Macaca mulatta: one gene and its partners. The protein of the gene in region 3 interacts with the protein of the main gene of each other region in a biochemical or structural test. Links are inferred from orthologs where the notes say so. Each region holds a gene or a part of one and is shown on either strand. Other genes may lie near its edges.

What was found.
Region 1: the proteins of INSR (region 3) and TRIM72 form a complex in vitro, tested with the Homo sapiens proteins (2 studies listed by BioGRID). The link is inferred for Macaca mulatta from reciprocal best matches to the Homo sapiens genes INSR and TRIM72.
Region 2: the proteins of INSR (region 3) and GRB10 form a complex in vitro, tested with the Homo sapiens proteins (5 studies listed by BioGRID and IntAct). The link is inferred for Macaca mulatta from reciprocal best matches to the Homo sapiens genes INSR and GRB10.

Annotation. Positions count from the first base shown.
Region 1 is NC_133425.1:29,857,928-29,864,437, reverse strand, and holds the start of TRIM72 (tripartite motif-containing protein 72), read right to left. Parts: upstream 3,658-6,510; 5' UTR 3,379-3,657; intron 2,958-3,378; 5' UTR 2,951-2,957; coding exon 2,561-2,950; intron 1,020-2,560; exon of another isoform or gene 996-1,019; coding exon of another isoform or gene 761-995; intron 433-760; coding exon of another isoform or gene 345-432; intron 61-344; coding exon of another isoform or gene 27-60; intron 1-26. UniProt on the Homo sapiens protein: Muscle-specific E3 ubiquitin-protein ligase that plays a central role in cell membrane repair by nucleating the assembly of the repair machinery at injury sites.
Region 2 is NC_133408.1:77,844,486-77,850,209, reverse strand, and holds part of GRB10 (growth factor receptor-bound protein 10), read right to left. Parts: intron 4,677-5,724; exon of another isoform or gene 4,220-4,676; intron 3,983-4,219; coding exon 3,763-3,982; intron 1-3,762.
Region 3 is NC_133424.1:8,178,847-8,185,241, forward strand, and holds the start of INSR (insulin receptor), read right to left. Parts: upstream 4,079-6,395; 5' UTR 3,536-4,078; coding exon 3,436-3,535; intron 1-3,435. UniProt on the Homo sapiens protein: Receptor tyrosine kinase which mediates the pleiotropic actions of insulin.

The DNA of each region.
Region 1 (6,510 bases), on a different chromosome or scaffold from region 3:
AGTTGGCACTACAAGCATGAGCAACCATGCCAGGCTACAAAGCCACTTCTTTGCTGGAAGGTGCCTGGCCATGGAATGAGTTCCACTCCTGCCTCCATGACTTCCAACCTGTTTCCTCCTCTGCAGATTGGGAACAGCAATCCCCACCTCCACAATTTGGTGCCCCCACTTTCCCAGGGGAAACTAGGGGACCCTCTAGGTGGTGTTTGCAGAGTCCCCTTCTGGCAGGAGCCACAGGGTTGAATATGAGCTGCCAGATCAGTCTCCTCCCCGGTTCTTCCCCGGGGGCGGCGGCTCCACCTGCTGCAGGAAAGGTAGGACCTGATGGCTCCAGGCCCTCCCAGGCTCAGAGGCTCAGGGCTCAGCCATAGGAAGGAAGCGAGAGGCCATCCTGAAGGTGCTGGAGAACCTGACCCCGGAGGAGCTCAAGAAGTTCAAGATGGGCCGGGCGGGGTGGCTCATGCCTGTAATTCCAGCAGTTTGGGAGGCGAGGCGAAGGCGGGCGGATCACGAGGTCAGGAGATCCAGACCATCCTAGCTAACACGGTGAAACCCCCTCTCTACTAAAAATACAAAAAAAAATTAGCCGGGCGTGGTGGCGGGCGCCTGTAGTCCCAGCTACTCGGGAGGATGAGGCAGGAGAATGGCGTGAACACCGGAGGCGGCAGAGCTTGCAGTGAGCGGAGATCGCGCCACTGCACTCCAGCCTGGGCTACAGAGCAAGAGTCAGTCTCAAAAAAAAAAAAAAGAAAAAAGAAAGAAAATAAAAGAAAGAAAAATTCAAGATGAAACTGGGGACTGTGCCACTGCGCGAGGGCTTTGAGCGTATCCCGCGGGGCGCACTCGGGCAGCTAGACATCGTGGACCTCACCGACCAGCTGGTCGCCTCCTACTACGAGGACTACGCAGTCGAGTTCGTCGTGGCCGTGCTGCTCGACATGGGCATGCTGGAGGAGGCGGCACAGCTGCCGCGGGCCGCGCGAGGGCCACTCTGAGCTGGTACGTGATCTAGGGACCCAACCCCGCTTCCTCGCCAAGGACCCAGGCGTCGGGTCCCGCCCAGAGCCTTCCTGTTCCCCTCCTCCTTCAGGGTCCCTCCTGGGGTCTTCCCTCAGACCTCCGGCCAGCCCCTCCCGGCGGCGAAGGGCTGGGCTGCAGCGAACCCCGGTGGGCTGCATCTCGCCCCACTGCCCCCTTCCAGGCTCCTGGGCTGCCTGGGCCCTGTTCCGTTTCATGGGTTCCGTGCTCTCTTCGCAGATAAAGACGGGCAAGGTTGGGCGAGGTTGGAATGCGCTCAAAGCCCTCGCGCAGTCGCACAGTCCCCAGCTTCATCTTGAATTTCTTTCTTTTCTTTCTTAAGCACAGGTGTGCTGGGATGGGAGGGCTCCCGGGAGGAGGCTCCTGCCCTGAGCTAGGAGACCACCAGCTAGGCCTGGGCTGAACTGGGCCAGGCAGGAGCTGGCGGGACTGAGAGGCTGGGTCCTTGGGAAGCCCGGGGGCCTCGAATACCAACGAAAGGACGGTAGTCTACCCCCTCTAGGAGGCAGGCCAAGGGAAGGAGTAGTGCAACGCCTGTGAAGCCAGCCCCGCGCGCGCACCAGCAGCGTAAGACGACGGCAGTGTCTCCACCTCGGGGACCAAGGACGCCTCCGTGCCTCCAGACCCCGCCTCCTCCAGCCCCTGCACCTGTCATTTCTTCTTCCACTGCCCAATAAATATTCATGACAGACTTTCCTGGGGCTGCGCGCACACGTGCCCGCCGGTAGCTACACGCGTGTGCTTTTGCCACACGTATAGCACGCACTAGCCAGTGTGCGTGGGTCTCTATTTGCCTCTGTCTGGGTGTCTGCTGAGTACCTCGGGACGCACACAACCACGTGTGGGCTCCCAAGGCGTTCGGGACTTCCAGCTCCACCCAGAAAAACATCCTGGACGGGGCTCTCGGTGCCACCCTGGGTCCGCGCACGCAAGTGCAGATCCCGGTTGCCTGGCCCTTCCAGTCTCCCTTTTGGTGAGGCCCCGCCTGGGGACCGTGAGGCCAGCCAAAGTTCCGAAGTTTCAGGGGTGCGTGGGCCTCCGCTGAGCACCACAGGACAGCCCTGGCCCGGCCGCCTGGCTCGGCCCGGAACGCCGCGCCTCCATTCCAAAGTGGGCCAGCGCCGCGCAGGGAGCCTGCCCGACCGGCCCACCTGGTGAAAGAATGAGCGCGTGGGCCGTAGGGGCTGGTCAGTCGCTGCTCCGCCTGGTTCCGGCCCGCCCATCAGACCAGCCCTGGGGCTCCGCCCTCCCATCTCCAGGTCCCTCTAGAGGCTAAGGCCGGGAACCTAGGTTTGCTCAGCCCCCTTCTCGCCAGTCTCCGTCCCTGCGCGGCTTTCCTCTGTCAGCCCCGCCTTCAGCTCCTCAGACACTCTTTCCTGGCTGCTTCGCCCCGCCCCCGACCCCGGCAACTCCAGGTCCTCTTTAGAGACTCAGAATCCAAATCAGTACAGCGACCTCCCCAGCGGCCAGCCCCCGCGCCGCCGAACAACCCCTCCGACCCCGATGCGTTCGGATCCCGCACCTTGAGGCGTGCGTGGGCCTCGGCGGCGGGCAGCAGGCGATGACCGCGGTGCGAGCCGAGTGAGGCGCACACTCCGCACACCAGCGCGCGGTCCTGCTCACAGTAGATGCTCAGCGGGTCCAGGTGCTCCTCGCAGTGGCCCTGCGGCACCTGGGCCAGCCCCTCCACCAGGCGCGCCAGCTGCAGGTTGGTGCTGAGTGCCTGCGGCCGCGTGGGGGCCTGACAGCAGGGGCAGAGAACGGTGCCATCCGCCGCCGGTTCCCCGGCCACGCGGCCCAGGCAGGCGCGACAGAAACTGTGGCCGCACTCGGCTGTCACGGGCGCGTCGAACAGCTGCAGGCACAGCGGGCAGGACAGCTCCTGGTGCAGGAGGCCCGGCGCAGCCGACATGGCGGGCCTGGGTGGAGGAGGAGTCGGTTAGGGGGACCCACGGCGCCGTGCTCCCGGCCCAGCCCTGGCCCAGGCCGGGCCCGCCGCGCCGCAGGGAGAAGCCGTAGCCTGTAAAGACCTCCCATCCTACACTGGATGGGGCTCTGACGGCCAAAGGGGAAGAGGAACTCGGTCTCAGGCCCAAAAGTAGCCTCCACTGCAATTCTCAGCTCCAGCTCCAAAAATATGCTCTATCGGTCAACCCCAGTTCCTGAACACAAGCCCAGGTCCTAGCCCACTGTCCTTGCCCTCGCCTTAGCCCCAGGCTTCAGCCTCTGACCTCAGCCCTGGCCCCAAATTCTCCAGAGCCCCCACTTCGAGACTCCCCTCCCCCACTTTACCAAGATCTCCAGCCCTCCCCTCCCCCCCTTCCAGCCCACGGGACTCACAGGTCTGGTTGGAGATCTTAGGCTGAAAGACACTGGAAGGAGGACCGGTAAGGGTCGAGCCGAGCTGGACTGGGGTCAGGGCTGTGTCCAAAGATCTGAGACAAGCAGCAGGCTCCAAGCAAGGACAGGGACTCACAGGGGAAGCTGGCAGTGGACACCACGCGTGATGGGCACACAGTGCTCAGTGGAAGACCCTCCCAGACTGAGCCATGGCTCCAGGACTATATTTAGCTGCCCTGCCCAATCCCTCCCATCACTTCCGGAAACCGTTCTAAAAGTGAGAGCTGAGTAGTCCCCGTGCACGCATCACATGCCAGGGCCACCTGTCTTGGCCCATCCACTGTTCCCTCCCCAGCCAGCCTGTAGCCAGAGCTCAGAGCCAGCGGGGAGACAGGACCTTTCTCACCACAGAAAAGACAGAAAATTGAGGGGGGATCTCCCCTTTCTCCCCCAACTCCCACCTCCACACTCTCCAGCTCCTTCCTCCTTGCTGGCAGCCGCTCCCCAGCCTGTTGCCCATTCATTCCCCAAGTTTATGGCTGACCAAGGTCACCCTGGCAGGATTATCCCACCTGCAGGAGGGCAGGACCTCACCCCACTCTGAAATGTTTTCTTCCTCCAGAGCTGAGGGGAGGGTCTTCTCCAAGTTGGTCTCTCTAGTACACCCAGGACAAGCCTTGGGGCAAAGTAGGCCTCTCTAAATGCTTGGAGAATTAATGACAGAGAGAGATTGAATAAATGAATGAACTGAATCCAGAGCCTGCAGCCCAGAACTCAATTCTGCCCTGGTTCCTGTATGTGTATCTTTCAAATCTCAGCTGAAATTTCATTTAAGTGGCACTGGGATAACTGGCTAGACATATGCAAGAGAATGAAAGTGGACCCCTGCCTTTCACCATATAAAAAAATTAACTCAAGATGGGTTAAAGACTTAAATGTAAGACTTCAAACCATAAAAATTGTAGAAGAAACCCCAGGAGAAATACCATTCTGGATATCAGCCTTGGTAAACCATTCGTGACTAAGTCCTCAAAGGCAACAAAAACAAAAATTGTTAAGTGGGGCCTCATTAAACTAAAGAGCTTCTTCACAGCAAAAGCAAAAGCAACTATCAACAAACAGACAACTGAAGAATGGAAGAAAATATTCACAAACTATGCATCCAACAAAGATCTACCATCCAGATTATATAAGGAAACTAAACATTTCAACAAGCAGAAAACAACTCCATTAAAAAGTTGGCAAGGGCCAGGTGCGGTGGCTCACACCTGTAATCCCAGCATTTTGGGGGGTCCAGGCGGGTGGAACACTTGAGGTCAGGAGTTTGAGACCAGTCTGGCCAACATGGTGAAACCTCGTCTCTGAAAAGTACAAAACTGGCCGGGCGCGGTGGCTCAAGCCTGTAATCCCAGCACTTTGGGGGGCCGAGATGGGTGGATCACGAGGTCAGGAGATCGAGACCATCCTGGCTAACACAGTGAAACCCCTTCTCTACTAAAAAATACAAAAAACTAACCGGGTGTAGTGGCGGGTGCCTGCAGTCCCAGCTACTCGGGAGGCTGAGGCAGGAGAATGGCATAAACCCGGGAGGCGGAACTTGCAGTGAGCCGAGATCGCGTCACTGCACTCCAGCCTGGGCGACAGAGCGAGACTCCGTCTCAAAAAAAAAAAAAAAAAGAAAAGAAAAATACAAAACTTAGCCGGGTGTGGTGACAGGTGCCTGTAATCCCAGCTACTTGGGAGGCTGAGGCAGGAGAATCGCTTGAACCCGGGAGGCAGAGGTTGCAGTGAACAGAGATCGCACCCTTGCACTCCAGCCTGGGTGACAAGAGTGAAACTCCGTCTCGCAGAGGTTGCAGTGAGCCAAGATCATGCCATTGCACTCCAGCATGGGCAACAAGAGCAAAACTCCGTCTCAAAAAAAAAATCAATAAATATTAAAAAAAAAAAAAAGAAAGAAAGAAAAGAAATTTCATCTAGAATAAAAACCAAAGTGCTAACTGTGGCCCACAAAGCCCTATCTGCTATGACCGCATTAATCACTCTGACCCATTTATCACCCCTTTCCCCGTTGATCACTCGCATCAGGGACTTTTCAATTAAGGTCCCCTCTGCCTGGAACACTCTCCAACCCAAGTACTGCATGGCTTCCTCTGTTTCCTCCCTCAGACTTTGCTCAATATCACCTTTCCAGCAAGGCCTCTCCCAACTCCCTGATTTTAAATCTCCTATCTCCTCAACATCTCACTGCCTGGCTTTCTTTTTCTCCGTAACATTTATCACCATTCTACTTGTTTGCTGGTTTCTTCTCTGTCTCTTCCTACAGAATAGAAATTGTGTTTACTGCTTGTCTCCAGCTTAGACTAAAGTGTGTGACACACATTAGGCGCTCTACAGACACTAGGTGAATGAACAAACATGCAAACTCAGTCCCTCGCATTTGGTCTCTCCATCTTTCTCTTAGCTTCCCTCAAACCTTTCCCTGGTTTTACTCTTTCTTATCTCAACTGCTATCTCTCTCAGAATGAAGTTTTGTTTCTGTTTCAGTCTCTTAATCTCCCCTTTGGACTCTCCCTTTGCCTTCTCTCTTAGGTTCTTAATTTTTTCTTTTCCTTTTTCTTTTTTTTTTTTTTTTTTTTTTGAGATGGAGTCTCACTCTGTCACCCAGGCTGGAGTGCAGCGGCATGATCTCAACTCACTGCAACCTCCACTTCCCAGATTCAAGCGATTCTCCTGCCTCAGCCTCCCAAGTAGCTGGGATTATAGGCACGCTCCACCACGCCCAGCTAATTTTTGTATTTTTAGTAGAGACGGGGTTTCACCATTTTGCCCAGGCTGGTCTCGAACTTCTGACCTCAGGTGATCCACCCGCCTCAGCCTCCCAAAGTGCTGGGATTCCAGGCATGAGCCACTGCACCCAGCTGCTCGTTCCTTCTTGCATGTTGCATGGTGACAGCACAAACTTCTGCTGGTCTGCTTAGGAAGGTAGCTACTTCAGGCTGCCTGACACCTTGTTTAACCTAGGCCCTCATTCAGGCTGTAACCATTTGGTTCTTTTAGGAGGAGAAAAGTTCTATTATTCTTCCGGATAAGAGCAATTACCTGTGTAAATGACTGCAGATTCTCGGGGTA
Region 2 (5,724 bases), on a different chromosome or scaffold from region 3:
AATGTCCTTGAAATGAGCATTAATCTAATCAAATGAAAATACAAGAAAAGGCTTTGTGTGTTCTCACCTGAATTATGCAATGGATGCTTATTTATAGAAAAAGGTTGTTGATACTGAATTAATTTGAAATTATAGCTTCACGTATCTGTCCTCCCAAAGCCTGTGTCCACATTAGAAACACACCTTAGAAACACACGCTGAATCCACGCACCACCTCTACTTTCCTGGCACTTCTCCAGGGGCATCTGTTCCCTCCTCAGAAAAATGCACAACCCACTTGTCATACAACTATGCAACACACGCACAGTATGACGAATCAGAAGCAACTGTGAACAGCAGAGAAATCAAGTTCAAAGTCAAAGCAAATGTCAAGTGCCCGGCGCCTCCCCTCTGTAGAGTAACTTCTGGCCCACACCTCCAGGACACTCCTGGGCACACAGCCTCCTCCACCCTTCCTGAGGCCATGCGACCCTGTCCACAGCCTCCTACCTTCAAGGAGAGGGGAGCAAACCTCACATTATCTTCACTCAGCATTTCCAGTCCCTCCCCATGTTTAAACACACCTCAGAAACCCCCATCACAGGCTGTGTCTTCAAGTAATTTTTTTGACCATTTTTATGATTTCACAAAATCAACAATCCGTTAGCTTTCCTGAGAGATATGCCACTACAGAAACACACTTTGTGACCACTTTACTTTTTCTCTTTTACCAACTTTCCCTATTTTTAAAGGAAGATCCAGCTAGCTATCCCACATAGACCAGCAAATGATGCATGGATTTAAAATTATGAGAACTCACATGGCATGAAGGGAATCAGTGCTGTGAAATACAGGAAAGCCGTTCCTATAATGGTTTGATGACATGCCAGAAAGTTTATTTTTACTGTGAACAAATCCCACTCTTCCCATAACAGCTTCAGCCTTGGCAAGGCATCCAACTGAAAGGTCTGGCTGTTGTCGTACAGGAGGAGATGGATAAAAGGGGTGGCCAGTGCCACTTTCAGGACATTCCAGTCCACAGCTTCTAGCCAGTGACTTCACCCCGAAGAGATAATCTGATGTTTCAGTGTTCACAAAAGCTTATCTCTTTATTGGGTTGTTTTGAGCATTTTTAAAAAGTCCTGTGTTGACTTTAAAGTGGCTCAGAGACATTGCCTAAGGCAAGACTAAGGGGCATCACCCAAAGACAAAAAATCCCCACGAAAGGGGCTCACAATAGAAGGGAGAGTGACTATGGAGAGGGGTGCTGAGATTTAGGGATGTCAGTGATGGTGGCAGGAACTGCAGAGCTGGTGTGGCGAGGTGCGGGTCCTTCTTCTCTGTGCCTATGCCCTGGCCCATTTGCGTTTGTCTAGAACACATGCGTGGTCCTTGCACTCTCAAAAGCCTGGGTTGCTTCTCCATACAGAATCGGCTCACCCGTCGGCTCTCCTGTGTGTGAGGCCTTCTTGCCCTTTCCAAGCGTCTCCTCTGCCCATACCCTGCCTGCACCCCAGCTCCCTTTGGGTTGTATGGCAGCCCCCGGGAAGTTCCTCTGTAGCGTGCACCATGCTCTGTACTCCCCGGTACCCAGCAGCCTGCTCCATGGCCACTTCCCACCTGCTGCAGTGGGCCAAGTTACCGCCCCGCTGTGCCTCGGTTTCCTCACCTGGGAAGCGAGGGTAACCCACACCACCTCCCTCCGAGGACACTGATAACAAAGGAGGAGCTCATCAGCATCTGCACACAGTAAGCGCTCAGCGAATGGCCTCACTTCACAAAATAAATCTTTGGTGATTCTAGATTGATAACCACATTTTTTTTAATCCACCTGAAAGTGAGAAACAAAACTACTTATCTGAGAGGACACCAGTGAGAAGAGTCTGGGCCCAAGGAATAGTGCCTGTGACCCTGTAGGGAGAGGGCTCTGCTGTCCCACAGAGCAAGACTGCCCCTCCACCCCGGGGACTTAGCGCAGGCAGCCCTGGGGCACATATGGGCAAGTTCAGCCAGAACTCGAGGTTCAAGGGTCCTGGGCAACTACTCCAGCAGGAAGGCAGGCCTTCTGGCTTTCCAGCTCACCCTCGGGCACCTTCGCCATGCGACTGCAACTCTATATTCCCAGGCGCTCCCCAAGGCTACTGTGATGCTCCCAAGAGACACTCCCAAGAGAAAAACAGCTCTCCCACTAGACTTAACTAAGTACAGGAGCTAAGTACAAGGGGTCACGCTTCAAAGAACAAAGTCGAACAAACCCTGGGACAGGCATCATTCAGCATCAATGAATATGACAAAAAGTGAGAAGTCAGAGGGGAAGCTGGGGTGGGAAGCTGGCGAGGCAGCTGACCACAGGCGCCAGGGCCACTGCACCCTCTCCCCTCCGTAAGAAACAGCGGCCACCTGGAGCAAGGTGATTATCTGGGCTGCGGAAGACCGAAGATGTCAGACCACAAAGAAAACTCTCAGAAGTTTCTAGAAGCAAGGAAGATCCCAGGAAATGAACGGAGCTCCCTGGAAGATGGGGTGCTGAGACAGGAAGCACCGGAACCCCATCCTGACAGAGGCCAATGAGGGCAAGGGGCAGTACCAGCAGAGATGGCTGTACATCCTCCACGAAGGCCCAGAGAGGCAGGCAGGGTCCCACGGAGCCCCACGCCATCCCCGCCATGGACTGCAGCAGGGCAGACAGGCCGATCCTTGAGGGCTGCCGCTGGCTCTCAGCTTGACTCTATAAAGATCTTCATTCAGAATGTCTAAGGTGCTCTCAGCACCTTCTCCTTCAACACGACCGTTCTCTAGACACCCTCCTCCCAGGCACTCGAGACAAAATCCAAGTCACCCTCCACACACTCTCTGTCTCCTCACAGCCCTGGCAACATTCAAGTGCTGGCAAAACGCAGCTGCCCCTCCTCGGCAACGCGCTCAAATCCCCTCTTTCTTCATCCTCGGGCAGCGCACAATCATCTCCCATTCGGGGGCTCCTGAAACCGCTTCCAAACCGGCCATGCTGTGCCAACCCTGCTGCCCTCTACCACTGTCCCCATGACCCCTGGCAGCCAGAATGCTGGTGTCAAAACTCAAACCCAGCCCCTTCACGCACCTGTCCAGAACTCTTCCCCATGTGGCTCCTGAAAAGGGCACACCAAGTGTTTCAGCACTGGCCTCCATCTGCATCATCTCTTCTGCTTATAAAACCTCTGCCTCCATCTATCTGAGCTCCTACAACCCTTTGACATCTGTTCAGAGATCCCACCTCCCAGGAACCTCCTTCAACGTCCCCAGCACGTTCCTCCCTCCAGCCTCCCTGTTTCCACAGAGATGTGCCTACCCATGAATTAGCAGAGGAATGTGGCCAAATGCAACTCCGAGGGAGGTTTGGGGTTATACGACAAGCTCCGGGGGGTGCTGTAGCTGCTAGCCTCCCAACCCTACTCTGGGTAGTGAGGGCTTGGGGCATGCCATCAGCTCTATGGCTGTTCTTTCAATCTTCCCAGAGATTTTTCCTCTGGTGGTTTTCCTGCATATCCCTCTATCTAGCACAGTGCCTTGCACATAGCAGGCACTCAATAAAAAGTACTGGAATTGAACCGGCTACAAAGTTCAACCCAAGCGCGGCACACCACACACACTCAGTGTATCCGTTATCCCATCAAAGGAATGTATGTGCCTCTTGGTTTTGCAAGGCCAACACTGTTCCCCCCAAGACCATTTAACTCACAGAGAGAGATGTCGTCGACAGCTCTCACCCTTGGAGAAGGCTCTGCCCGTGAGGCCTGGACTTACCTGACAGCAAGGATGTGCACAGGCTGGGAGCGCTGCACCCTCTGCCTCGGGGACACCTGTGGCTGGACGGACCGAGGGCCTGAAGCCCGAGGTTGGCTGCGGTCATGCTGGCCATTCTGCAGGAGGGGCACTGTGTCTGACTGCATGCTGCAGGCTGAGTACAGGCTATCCAGGGATGCGTTCATATCGTTCACCAGGGCTTCCAGGTCCACATCATCCTCTGCACAGAAAAAGGCAAGAGCAAAAAAGAAACTTTAGCAGTGGAGAGCAATCAAACCCAAATGTACATCTTGGTAATCAGGTTCCAAACCTCAATCCTATTTTTCAAATGCTATGTAAGCGGTAGTGGGGCAACACTGAGAGAAGTATGACTGTATGGAAGCATGCATATTACATGTATTCATCATGATTGACATTCCGAGGCAATTCAATCATTAGAGCTGGGCTGCATTTCTACCTGTCTCCAGGGAGAAGCCATTTGGAGCATCTGCTCAGTTCCCTTCAGCACCCTGTTCTCTCCTCCCCACCCACTCCGGTAGGCCACACACAGCCATAGCTGCATAGCACAACCCCACTGGCCTGGACTCAGCTGACTGAATCACAGGTGGTCTCCCAAGATCAGGACTCTCTCCTCCCTGGGATTCCAGAAGTGAAACAAGAGACAGAAACAGAGCAGCACCCAACACTGTGACACTGGTTCCAGCCCAGAAAGGTTAAGTAGGAGCTGAAACTGTGACAGAGGTTTATGTGTGGCTGCTACTACAACACACGCCTGTGGGCTTCGGGTGCCCACCCATCCTCTTGATTGGCCAGAGTGCAGAAGGAAGCCCATCTTCACATCTTCTCTCTCTGCATGGGGCAGTGCAGAGAGAGAAGCCACAATGGCACAGAGAGTAAGCCGAGAGAGAGAGAGCGGAAAATGCCCTTTAGTAAGGGAGGAATGAGCACACAGAGGCTGTGATGGTTGGTTTTATGTGTCAACTTGGCTGGGCCATGGTGCCGGGTTTTAGCTAAACACTAGACTAGACTAGATGCTGTGAAGGTATTTTTTAGATGCAATTAACATTTAAACCACAGACTTTGAGTAAAGCAGATTGTTCTTCCTCATGTGAGAGGGCCTCAGCCCATCACCTGAAGACCTGAATAGAAGAAAAAGCCCGGCCTCCAAGGGGAAAGATGGAATTTTGCCTCCAGACCTGAACTGCAACCCTTCCCTGGACGTCCAGCCTGCCAACCTGCCCTGCAGATTTTGGACTTGCTAGCCTCCAGTGTCATAAGCCAATTCCTAAAATACATATGTCTCTCTCTGTATATAGCCTATTTAATGGGTTGCAGCCCTATCTCTGTTTCTCTGGAGAAGCAGACTTAACACACATGGGCTCAGGATCACAGACAGCAAGACGCTCTTCCTAACAAAGGCTACAGCGTTTGGTCGGTAGGAAGGAAAGCAGAGACTGGCACTTGCAAACTTGCTCACCCTGGCCTGCTCCTACTGGCTCTGGGCACAGGGCCTGGGACATGGGCTTCCTATTTCTTAAGAGTCCTCAACTCTAATAAGAGCTTAGCAACAGTGTCCACCCCACACGGGGGTTGTAAGGACTAAGTTAGTTATTATCTGCTTTATAACAGAGCTTGGCACACAGTAAACAGGAAGATGTTATTTATTAGCCCTATTTCATCTATTTCTTACAGAATAACAAAAAGTGGTCATTATTAACCTGGCTTAACAGCTGAGGAAACAGGCCTGGAAGAATTAAATCACCTGCCCAAGGTCACATAAGCAGTATTGAAAACAAGCTTTGCAGCCCTCATTCTCCCCTACCAGGTGTGTGCTCCTCACAGAAGCTCCAGAGGGGCACTCTGCCCTCTGGGTTGGAAGGCTTTTGTTTTAAAGGGCTCCCCTCATCTCCCAAGGTTAAAGGGCATAACAAGACAAGACATAAGGAAACCAAATGACAACAA
Region 3 (6,395 bases):
CAGGTCTCCAGGAGAGAAGCAAAGAATAAGAATAACTGCAGAGGCCAGACACTGTGGCTCATGCCTGTGATCCCAGCACTTTGGGAGGCCAAGGCGGGCAGATCGCTTGAGGCCAGGAGTTTGAGACCAGCCCAGACAAAATAGCAAGACTTCATCTCTACAAATTAAAGTAAAAATTAGCCAGGCAGGGTGGCGTGCACCTGTGGGCCCAGCTACTAGGAAGGCTGAGGTAGGAGGATGGCTTGCGTCCAGGAGGTCGAGGCTGCAGTGAGCCGTCATTGCCCAACTGCACTGCAGTCTAAGCAACAGAGCAAGACCTCATCTCAAAAACAAATACAGTAAAATGAATAGATAGGTAGATAGATACAAAAATCACACTGATTTTCCTCCACCCTTCATCCCAATCAAAATACCATATAGGGCCAGGAGTGGTGGCTCACGCCTGTAATCCCAGGACTTTGGGAGGCCGAGGCAGGCAGATCACTTGAGGTCAGAAGTTTGAGACCAGCCTAACCAATATGGCGAAACCCCATCTCTACTAAAAATACAAAAATTAGCCGAGGGTGGTGATGGATGCCTGTAATCGCAGCTACTCAGGAGGCTGAGGCAGGAGATGCACGTGAACCTGAAAGGTGGAGGTTGCAGTGGGCAGTGAGTAAAGATCGTGTCACTGCATTCCAGCCTGGGTGACAGAGTGAGAACCTGTCTCAAAAAAAAAAAAAAAAAGGCCGGGCGCAGTGGCTCATGCCTGTAATCCAAGCACTTTGGGAGGCTGAGGCGGGTGGATCATGAGGTCAGGAGATTGAGACCGTCCTGGCTAACACGGTGAAACCCTGTCTCTACTAAAAATATAAAAAATTAGCCGGTGTTGTGAAACACACCTGTAATCCCAGCTACTGGGGAGGCTGAGGCAGGAGAATCCCTTGAACCTGGGAGGTGGAGGTTGCAGTGAGCCGAGATCGTGCCACTGCACTCCAGCCTGGGTGACAGAGCAAGACTCCGTCTCAAAAAAAAAAAAAAAAGCCACATTGGTTGACATTAGAGATTAATGATCTAATGATCTGAAAAGCTCTTTGCCCCTCCCCACGCCTTCAAGAGGCATCACAGCCCATTTATTTGATAGGATTTTGTTCACCATTACCCCAAACATGGGGGGTATGGAGGCTCAGACTCAAAAGAACAAAGATTTGTTAAGAAACCATTGCTCTGCAGCCACACTAGCTAGATTCCAATCTCAGCCCTGCTGCCTGCTGGCCTCAAACGAAGTTTTCTCACTTGTGAAAAGGGATGATTAAATCACACCTCGTGTGGGGTTTTGCCGTGAGGATTAACTGAGATTATATATGCAAAGCGAATAGAACAGCACCTGCTGAGAGCTTGCTCTTACAATTCTTAGGAAGGTATTACGCAGAGAATAAAGAACTTCTTAAGATGATAAAGGAGCCCAGTACACCCAGGGTTTCTGTGCCCCACTGCAGAACAAATATTTACTGAACACCTACTATGTGCCAGGCACCGTTCTGGGGTCTAAAAATACAGTGGTGAACAACATCAACAACAAACCATAAACCCCTGCCCATATGGAAGCCATAAATGTGAAAAGAAATGGTAAATCTATTTACTGACCCTGAAAGTCCAGGCACAGATCCACGATTAATTACCAAAGCTACAAGGAACAGAAGAGCAGTGAACCACACAAACGCACACACAGAATCTGGCATAGTTCTAAACCACTCGTCTTGGATTTTTTTTTTTAAGACAAACTCTCACTCTGTCGCCAGGCTGGAGTGCAGAGGTGCCATCTCAGCTCACTGCAACCTCCTCCTCCCCAGTTCAAGCAATTATCCTGCCTCAGCCTCCCAAGTAGCTGGGATTACAGGTGCACGCCACCACATCCCGCTAATTTTTGTATTTTGAGCAGAGAAGGGAGTTTCACTATGTTGGCTAGTATGGTCTCGATCTCCTGACCTCCTGATCCGCCCGCCTCAGCCTCCCAAAGTGCTGGGATTACAGGCGTGAGTCACAACAGCCAGCCGGATTTTCTTAACAACAACCCAAATTAAACGCCACCCTTCATTGAGCACCTACTGTCTACCAAGCACCTGGGGGCGGGGTGGCCGCAGGGCTTTTAAACATTATGTAATTCACAGAGTTGACTCAGCACACCCGGTTGGTCCACTCTAGCACCTCTGATTTTACATGTACCCGGTTCCCCATCAATAAATGTAGGAGCTTCAATTCCTTCCCTCCCTGACCCCTTCCTCATTACCACTGATTTCCTTTTATGGAGAAATCTGAAACAGTAACCCAACAGATATGTTTAAAGCAGGGCCTCAGACCCCACAGTGGGACACTCAGGCTATATTGTCTTAAATGATTGCGCCATCTTTATCTTACAACCCCAAAGGTGCCTGCTGTCAAGCCCAAGGAAGATGCTACCCACACGTGGGAGAGGGGCCCATGGGGTCAGGGGGAAGGAAAGGCTCACTCAAGGTCAAAGGCTCCTTCATGAAGGGCAGGGCTGAGGGGAGAGGAGGAGTCAAGGAGACAGCAGACAAGGGACAGTAGTCCAAATTCTTGTGCAGAATGGGACACAGAGAGGTTCAAGTCCTGGCTCTGGCACTGACTTAAGGGCAAGGGAGTTATGCATCCTACCTGAGCCTTAGTTTACTCCTCTGTGAAATGGGTACAGAACTGTATCCGCCTCCCGGGGCCACTGTGACAGTCCAGAGAGATAAGATAGACCAGCCTGTGGCGTGCGGTGATACTAATTACAATAAATAGGGTAAAAAACCGCCACTACTTCTGCTACAATTGCTGCTGTTGCTAAGGCTTTAGAATTTGCCTCCAGACATCTGGAAACAGAACCCAAAAGGGTAAACGTGGACCTAGAGTCCGGGGTGGCCACGGGCCTAAATCCAAGGTAGCTGGGTAGAGGGGGTTTCTGCAGTCCCCGACCCCAGGCAGCGTCACCCACCGGTGAGGCACTCGGGGCGATTGGCTCTACCTACACCATATGCGCTCGGGGGACTTGGCTGTCCGGGGCTCTCCAGACCCAGTGACCCCACTTCCCGGCCGCGACCCAAAGACGACGCATGTCGTGTCTCCGGAGCGACTTGGGCTCGGAGGGGCTGGGGCACGGGTCGGAGGCGCGCTCCAGAGAGGCGCCCGCGGCGGGGCGGGCACTGGGGCAAGGTTCCTCGGGCTCAGGTCGGGCACGCGGGGCGCGGAGGCGCGAGCCCGGGCGGGCAAAGGCCAAGGTCAGCGGCTTCCCGCCCACCCCCCCACCACGCGAGGCAGGAGCTACAGTCCCGGCCACCGCCCCCCGCCCCCGGGGAGGGTTCTCAGTCCACAAGCCGGGGCTCGATTTTGGCTCGGGTGGGGTCCTCTCCCCATCGCGGCGCTCCCCGTCCACGCCCGCGCCCCCAGACTCACCCTCTCCGGGGTACAGGTGGCCCGCGGCGCCCAGTAGCAGCGCGGCCACCGCCACCAGCAGCGGCGCGGCAGCTGTCCCCCGCCGGCCCCCGGTGCCCATGGCTGCGGGAGCGCGGGGTCTCCTCGGATCAGAGCGCGCGGCGCTGGCCCGCGGGGGTCATGCTCTGAGGCGGCCGTCCGAGAGGCGCTGGGGGCCGCGCGTCCTTCTCTTCCACGCCGGCGACCCGCGGGCCGCAGCCCCGCTGCCCGGGAGGGCCCTAGAGACAGCCCCGGGAAGGAGGCGCGCGGCTTCGCCCGCTACAAATAGGGAGCGGAGGCCCTCGCGGTGGCGGCCCCGACCCCCGGCCGCTGCGGCCCGGGCCCCGTCCCACGATGTCGGGGCGGGGAGCTCGGCGCTGCGCCCCAGACTGTCTCTCGGCTCTCGGCCCCGCGCGCTCTGGGTCGCGACCTGCGGGCTCCGGGACAGAGGGACGCGCGGACCAACGGACAAGCTGACGGGCGGGCGGGCACCTGGGCTGGCGGGTGGCGGGCGGGCGGCGGGAGCGAGGGCTGCTCGGGCCCGTAAACAACGCGGCCCGTCAGCTGGGCCCGGTGCGGGCCGCGGGAAAAGGCGGCGCGGATCTGGCCTAGGAAGGGACTCTGCGCCCGGGAGAGGCCCAGGAGAGGGAGGGAAAGCAGGCAGGAGAGGGAGGTGCCGCCCGGCCCCGCCCCGCCCGCCTCCCCGCCTGCCTCCCCGCCTCCTGTGCCGGGCCCCGCGCTGGAGGCCCTGGGCGCGCCGGGACCGAGGGGGCGCCCCAGATCCGCGGGCCCTACAGCCCCGAGTCTCCTCCAGTTTCAGACCCCCGGAGGCGCCCCACAGGCCCTACCCAGCAGCACAGGTCCTTTCTCTACCGTTTTGCTATTTTGTTCATAGTGGGCTTTGGAGGATTCCTGTTGATTTTTTTTTTTTTAACACTGCATTAAAATGTTTATTTTGGTGACTCGAGGTGGTTTTCGTTTCTTTCTTTCTTTCTTTTTTTCACTCCCTTAAATTTTGCAGCCCAGGCGAGTAGTGTCTCACTCGCCTTTCCCCAGTCCGGGCCTGGCCAGCGACACTCGTCCCAGAGCGCGTGGGCGCCCCCAGATGTCCCGCCCGCGCGTGCGCCCCCGCCCAGGGGCGAGACCCAAGCCAGGCCCCTGGGGACAGCCACGTGCCCGCGCGCCCAGTGCGCTCCCTGTGTTCAAGTTAAAGAAATGACACCTGGAAAAATGTGCAGACGCTTCTGAAAGAGCAAAGAAGAGGCCAAAGACGACTCCGGAGACCTCGAATAGGGCGCAGGTGGACATCTCAGATTTTCAGCATCTCAGATTTTCAGCAGACCAGCCTGTATGTGTCTGAACGTCTAGCAACGACATTCACCAACAAGGCGGGACAGCAGTTCCACCTACTCAGTATAGGAAAGCCAGAACTCAATGGGAAGAGGGTTCCTCCACCCCTCACTCCTGTATGGTCTTGGGCCAGCTACTTTACTGTGTCTGGGCCAGTTTCACTTGTGTAATGGGTTTGATAATACCTGCAGGCCAGATCTGGGGAGGTACCCGGGAAAGAAAACTTAAGAAAGCGCCCAGCACAACCCTAGACCCAAGGCATTCATTCTTCTTTTATTAAATAGTTTGCTAGGAGCTGGACCCACTGTTCATGCAACAGGCCAAACCTATTCCTGCCTCCAGGCCTTTACCCCAGCGTCTCCCTTGCCTGTAACACTGCAGGATGGCTTCATCTCTGCTCCAAGGAGCCATCCCTAACCACACTTTTGCAAATCCTCCCCACCAGTTCCCTGTTCCCTTCTCTCTCTCTCTCTCTTTTTTTTTTTACATGGAGTTTTGCTCTGTTGCCCAGGCTGGAGTGCAATGGCCAGATCTCAGTTCACTGCAACCTCCCCTGCCTGGGTTCAAGTGATTCTCTTGCCTCAACCTCTCAAGTAACTGGGATTACAGGCATGCACCACCACACCCGGCTAATTTTTGTATTTGGTCTCGAACTCCTGACCTCAGGTGATCCACCGGCCTTGGCCTCCCAAAGTGCTGGGACAGGCCTGAGCCACTGTGCCCAGCCCCTTCTCTTTCATTTTCATAGCATGCTTACCTCTCTACCTGCAATTCTATGTTCTCTTTTCTTTTTTTTCCTTTTGACAGAATCTTGCTGTCACCCAGGCAGGAGTGCAGTGGCGCAATCCTAGCTTACTGCAGCCTTGAACTCCTGGCCTCAAGCAATTCTCCTGCCTTGGCCTCCCAAGGTGCTAGGATTACAGGCATGCACCACCATGATTGGCCTTGAAATTCTTATTCAACGTTTTCTGTGTCTTCTCCCCTCCCCCGAAAGTGAAAATCTTTTCGGTCTTGTTTCACTGCTTAAACCCAGTGGCTGACATATCTGTTGCTTAATAAATATTTGTTGAGTGGGAGAATCAACAAGCAATAAGTAGTAGGGGGATTTTTCAGTGAGCAAAATAAACATGACCCATTTCCTTATGGAGTTCACAACTGAGCCAGGGAGAAAGCCCTTAAAATAACTGAGTGTATGATGAGTTGAGGGGAGTGGGAGGTGCATAGGGAGGAGTCTGCTGAGGACGTGAGTTTTTTTGTTTGTTTGTTTGCTTGCTTTTTGACGGATCTTGCTCTGTCACCTAGGCTGGAGTGCAGTGGCACGATCTTGGCTCACTGCAACCTCCGCCTCCCAGGTTCAAACAATTCTCCTGCCTCAGCCTCCCGAGTAGCTGGGACTACAGGTGCACACCACCATGCCCGGCTAATTTTTGTATATTTAGTAGAGACGGGGTTTCACCATATTGGACAGGCTGGTCTCAAACTCCTGACCTCAAGAGATCCGCCTGTCTCAGCCTCCCCAAGTGCTGGGATTACAGGTGCGTGAGCCACTGAGGATGTCGTTTGAGCTTAAGTCTGAAAATGAAGAGGAGCCA